Linked DNA regions of Oryzias latipes. The protein of the gene in region 1 purifies or fractionates together with the protein of each later gene. This does not show direct contact. Links are inferred from orthologs where the notes say so. Each region holds a gene or a part of one and is shown in the gene's direction. Other genes may lie near its edges.

Region 1 (3,209 bases):
GGGCTGCCAAATACAAGGGGGGGCAGGGGGGTCCTGGTGGACCAGGAGGAGTCCCAGGAGGACCGGTGGGTAACATTGCAGGAGGAAGCCAGCAGGGCAGCATGAATCCTGTGGGGGCCGGTCAGCAGGGAATGCACATGGGGGGTCAAGGAGGAACAAATGTCAACATGAGCCCCATGGCTCAGTTGCAGCAGGTCCAGCAGCAGCAGCAGCAGCAGCTTCAGCAGTTGCAGCAGCAGCAGTTGCAGCAGCAGCAGAGGCCAATGCTCAGTGGGTTACAGCAGCAGCAGGTTGCAGCTCTCCAGCAGCAGCAACAACAGCAGCAGCAGCAGCAAGGCGTGGGTCGAGGAATGCCGGGTCAGGGGCCCCAGATGGGAAACCTGAACGGAGCCCAGTTTAGAGAGTTGCTGATGAGAAAGCAGCTACAGCAGCAGCAACAACAACAACAACAGCTGCAGCAACAACAGCTGCAGCAGCAACAACAGCAGCAACAGCTGCAGCAGCAGCAGCAACAACAACAGCAGCAGCAGCACCAACAACAGCAGCAGCACATGGGAGTAAACCACAGTCAGTTCCAACAGCCACAGCCCCCCCAGGGGCAGGGCTTCATAGGGCAGCAGGGCATGCAGCCTCCAGCAGTGGGGCAGGGGCCTCCTGGGGGGCCACCCCTTCAGCAGCCCGGTGGACAGCCGGGTCAGCAGGCACCAAGTTACCCCGGATCAGTCGCTCAGCAGCAGGCCACGGTTGCACTGCAGCAGAGACTGCAGCACCAGCACCACCTCCAGATGCAGCAGCAACAGAACGCCATGGGGGGTGATGTAGGGCCAGGTGGAGGGAGTATCAGTGGTCCGCAGCAAGCACCCCAAGTCCCTCAACCCACCCAAATTGGACCCCCACCTTCAACCGCTCAAGCCCGGCTTCAACAGACTCTGCACCAAAGGATGTTCCATCAGCAGCAGCAGCAGCAGCAGCATCTCGGCCCGGGAGGGTCACCGGCCCAGCACACCAACCCCATGAGCCCCCAGCAGCCTCAACAGGTGAACCAGTCCCCCCACCCGCACCTGCAGGGACAGGGCATGTCCACATCTCTGGCCAACCAGGTCCGGTCCCCACAGCCCTCACCCAGACCTCAGTCCCAGCCGCCTCACTCCAGCCCGTCCCCACGCATGCAGCCACACCCCTCCCCGCTTCACATCTCCCCCCAGATGCAGACGGGCTCTCCTCATCCCAACCACCTGAACCAGCACCATCCAGGAATGATGGCACCTCAACAACCACAACCGCCAGCAGCCCAGCAGAACGCCATGGAGCCGTTCGGCTCGGATGAGATGCTGTCCCAGCTGAGCAGCATGGCTGGTCTGCACGGGCCAGGCGGCAGCGGTCAGGACCCAATGGGCCCCAACATCGGCCACAGCTCCTTAGACCACATGTAGGGTGGTCGTCAGCGTGTGGAGCGGAGCGGAGCGGCAGTGGAAATCCGCACAAACTGCACTCACCCAGGACAGTGTTATTGTTATTACTAAGCTTTTTTTAAACTATTATTAAATGTTATTTAAAATGTTTTCAATAAAGATGCATTGAACTGAACTTCCTATGGGAGATGAACATGAAATCAAGCAGTCGTTAAATGAATGAAAATGAATTGTAACTTATTGCTGTTAAATGTTTTCTTTGCCAATTAGGGATGGGGGGGGGGGGGTCTTTCACATATCATCCCACAAGTCACCCCGTGTACTGCAGAGGAAAGTTGATTCTATTTTTTTGAGGGGGGGTATGTGAAAAAAGTACTTGCCTTTTGAAAAACTGTTCTGTTTTTATAGGTTTTTAAAGTCCAAAATTATGATTTAATGCAAATATCTTTATATCAGTTGAGCTCCTTTTTTTATTTTATTCTTTGGGGCCTTTTTTTGTTTTTGTTTACGCTTCACCTCAAATCCAAACATGATGCTTTTTTTTTTCTTTCCTTTTTCTAATGTTTGGGTTTTATTTATTCTTTTCCTTCTGGGGGTGGGCGTCTAGGAGACTGCTACAGTTCCTACAGAAATATATTTTTGGTATTGACTGTTAAGATGGGGGGGGGGTTAGTATATGTTATTTCACTTTAGATGTCTTGAGTTGGGAGTGATGTCAGTGTTTGATTGCAGTGCGCTCTGCGCCGGAAGGGCGGCGGCGGACACATCTTTGGAAGCCCTCTCCAACATGCAAGCCCCCTCCCTCGAATGTGTGTGCACTCCTTCCTGTTAAAGACACTTCAAATGGAGCTGTAGAGCTTTGGGGAGGGGGGGTGCATACCTTTGTGCCTGTAACATTTTAAATACCTGGGGTGGGGCGGGCTTGTTCTAGTGTTTTTAGGATTCTGCTGTTTTCTGTAAACAGAGGATGATGATGATGATGATCCAAATGAACTGTGTTGCACAGAAACGAGGAGAAAGAAGGAGACCCCCCCCCACACACACAAATACACCCGACTCGGTCTCTTTCTCCCTCGTCCCCTTTGCTGCTTCCCTCAACTTTATATCCTCCTCTGGGGGGGACGTGGAGCTCCTTCTTTACAAACTCCATCCTCTTTATCTTTCTGCTCAGAACTTTGGGAGTTTAATTTAATATTTTTTACTGTACAAAGGAAACAAACTGGACTCGAATACTGTTTTTATAATAAAACAAAAATTACCAATTTGGTTGTGTCTTCTAAGGATATTTCTTCAAAAGATGCACTTCCTGCTTCTACCTTAGATTTAGAATGAAGTTTTTTGTTTACAAACAAAACAAAGGTAACAGCCTGCCATGCAGTAATGCAATGAGTTTCCAAACTCTTAGAAAACCAAAGTATGCGTTTGGTTTCTGTTCAGCAAAATGCAAAAAAACAAACAAACCTGACTTTCAGCACTGAAAATGCTGAAAGTTGCTTTTTTTCTCCAAAACATTTTTCTTTTATTCTGAATAATTACAAAGGAAAGAAGGAAGCTGGACACAAATATTAAAATGTCAAAATTGGAATAATGGATTTAAGGTGTTCAAACACCCCAAAGCCCGCTATCAGACCGCTCTGCTTTCCGTAAATCTTCAGCTTTAAATCGCTTGGAGTAATACTCCCTCTAGCGGCCGTAGATGTTATTGCGACCTGATATGTGTTCAACGGAGTTCGAGAAGGGTCAAAAAAGATTTCGTTTATTCTGACACACATGAGACAGCATAACAAATTCTATCGA
Region 2 (3,005 bases), on another chromosome or scaffold:
CAAAGATCTTTGTATCTCAGCAACTCAGACGATGCTGAATAAGGCAAACAGGTAGATCTGTTTACAGTCAAACCCTCCATTTGTCCCTACAGATGTTTTAGTGATGATTTAGCACCAACATGTGGAGCCTCTGGATGAGTCGACCTGTGATGATTCTGTCTTTCATTCTCTGTCCTTTTTTTTCTCTTTCTTCTCTCCCTCCATTTCTCCCCACTAGACCCTCGTCAGTCCCAGTCCTCTCCTCCCTGGTCATACGAACAGACGTATCCGTCCTACCTGAGTCCCATGGCGTCCCCCTCAGTCCATTCCACCACCCCCCTCTCCTCCAGCAGGGGCACGGGCCTGCCAGCCATCAGTGACGTGCCCAGACGATTGCCAGGTAGAAATCCTCCAACTCGTTAGGGGAAAAACGAGTTGTCACGGGGACAAACAAAAGCAGAAACGTTTACAAGAGGGGGAAAAAAAAGTTTACCAGCAAGCTAATTTAAGCTGTGAGTCACGAGTCGTTTCTGCAAAGAAGTTCAAATGACGTTTCAGCGAATAAACTAGATGTTTCCTTTTTTTCTAGAACTCCTTTGATCCCAAAGCAGCACGAGTAATAACAGGCCCACAAATAATAAGAGGCTTGAAACTTTAAAAGGTCCTGCAGTGATAGACAACTTTCTCAAGGCATTGTAGCTTGCAATATGTGCAGCATCTGTGTTGCAATTTGTTCCTCCTGAAATCTCCTGTAAAAGCTCAAGACAAGTTTCTCCTTCGTACACCTGTTTGACTCTCTGCCATGTGCGATTTTTTTTCCATCACTCTTTTTTTTTTTCCTGTTCTCCTCTCCTCTGTTTGTGTATGTTTATATACGTCTGCATGCTTGGAGCGATTCGGCGTTGCAGCCATGAATCAGACAGAGTTTCAGATCCAGCCAGCTGCTCCGCCAGCCTTTGATTTGTTTGGTCTTCCCCTTCGGCTTTCATCTCTGCGAGTGTGGAGCTTTGCTCTCGAGGCGCTGCACATGTGAGAGCGTGCACAGGCCCCGCTGCACACCTCGCACCTCCAGAGGGAAGTGCCGCTCAAATTCCTGGAGATCGTACAGAAACACTGCGATAAAGAGGCTTCGGCTTGTGCCGGTTTATCAGGTCGAGTCATAACATTTCATCGAGAAGGGATGTTTGTAAGACCCACCTCCAAACATTGGTCTTGCCCGTCATCACAGGCCGCCTTCCAGAATGAACAGTGGCTCCAACATTGTAAAGGAAGAGACAAGAGTTTACTGAACAATGTCGGTCAAGGGACAATTACTATTATTATTAGAATTTAATTGATCTGCTGGAAACTTTAACAACCCACTCCGATCTCCTTTTGGTCTATTTTCAAATCAGAATGCTTTATTGTCATTCTACATAATGATACAACTAAATCATAGCATCCTTGGAGTGGTAAATACTATAAATCTAATCAAAAAATATACAAGACCCAATAAAAATACAGGCATGAAAAAATAGAATAAAGAAAGTGTCCCCAGTTTTTTTTTTATCTATGCCATTTTTAAGTTAAAATAAAAAAACCTGTGTTATTTTCTAGATCATACTGTATTTTCTTTGGACTATAGGCCCCACCGGAGTATAAGTCGCATCAGCCAAAAAAATGCACAATAAATCATTATATAATTGATATATAAATCACACTTTTGAAAGAAAACTATTTAACAAAATACAGGAACATTTCATCTTGCAAAGCAAATCATAATAAAGGAACATCTGCACGCTTCACTACCACAGTAAAGCTTCACGAAAGGAGGAATCTAGTAAATTAGCTCAACATATGGACAATTATCAAGATAACCACATTATAAAGAACAAGCTAACAAGTCAACTAAACTCTTTATATCACTTCAAATCCATTGAAATTTTCATCCTCTGTGCCACTGGAACAACTCTGTAAGACTCAGCGTGGCATCTTCTTCTGCGTCGGTCTCAGTAGCAAATACTTTAACACCTGCAGTGAGTGCCCTCTAGTGGTTGTTGCTATTTATTTATTTTTAATTCTCATACAAGTTGCACCCAAAAAAACATGGTAGTTTCTGCAGAGCGTCAGTAGTTTATTAGAAACTTGCATCTAAATTGTGAGCTGGACCGTTGATGCACAGCAACCCCGCCCCCACTTCCCGACACCCATCTGTTTTTTACATTCTCTCCTGCTAGCTTAAAACCCTTCCGCCCACTAGGAACATTTCAGCTGTACAGTTTCCACCAGATGCCAGCTCGGACGAGGCAAACAAAGACGTACACGGATCTGATCGTCTACAAGTGGATGCATCAGAATGGAGCGGAGCAGGGAGCTTCTTTCTAGCGTATTTTCTACGTAACAAATACGATCTTTTTCAAACCAATTTTTTTCTTAAATACAATTACTCAGACATGCAACTTTAAGCTTGATTATTTTTATATATGTTCTCCGTCATCAGAAAAGTGCCACAAGACCATGTGAAAACCACCTAAACACACTTTTTATCAGAGTGGGTTCATAAAGGCTTTTAATTGGCAGCATGTGCTATCTCGCCAAAAGACTCTGCAATGCCGCCATGCGCATAAACTCGCCTCCTCTTCCCTCGTCTTCCCCGCCACCCCCTGTCCTCTCACAGCAGACATGGTGACACAGAAGACGCCTGGTGATTTATGATAAGAGCGCCATGGCTGGACTAAACCACCATGAGGCGACGGGTGGGAGGGGGGCAAAAAAAAAAAAATAGTCCTTAAACTCTTCTCCCAGCAAAGAGCTCACCGCAGCCAGTTAGTGGTTTTTCCTTTTTTTTGGGGTGGGGGGTGGTATTCTTTAAGGGATGAAGCAAAATGAGGGACGAAACAGCTAAATGGAGCAGCTCCCTTTTTATTATTATTTTTTTTATTTTTTTTTTGTGAAATCCTGGAGCCGACGGGAGGCGAGGAGAGGAGCCACATCAGAGCTCAGCCCTGCCTCATTATGGATCTTATGGAAACTGTTTCTGCTCAAAG

The links. The genes of interacting proteins can lie anywhere in the genome.
Region 2: the proteins of histone acetyltransferase p300 (region 1) and runx2 purify together in Homo sapiens (affinity purification with western blotting; 4 studies listed by BioGRID). This does not show direct contact. The link is inferred for Oryzias latipes from reciprocal best matches to the Homo sapiens genes EP300 and RUNX2.

What each region holds. Positions count from the first base shown.
Region 1 is NC_019866.2:19,344,838-19,348,046, reverse strand, and holds the end of histone acetyltransferase p300, read left to right. Parts: coding exon 1-1,433; 3' UTR 1,434-2,678; downstream 2,679-3,209. UniProt on the Homo sapiens protein: Functions as a histone acetyltransferase and regulates transcription via chromatin remodeling. Acetylates all four core histones in nucleosomes. Histone acetylation gives an epigenetic tag for transcriptional activation.
Region 2 is NC_019882.2:3,176,132-3,179,136, forward strand, and holds part of runx2 (runt-related transcription factor 2), read left to right. Parts: intron 1-217; coding exon 218-379; intron 380-3,005. UniProt on the Homo sapiens protein: Transcription factor involved in osteoblastic differentiation and skeletal morphogenesis. Essential for the maturation of osteoblasts and both intramembranous and endochondral ossification.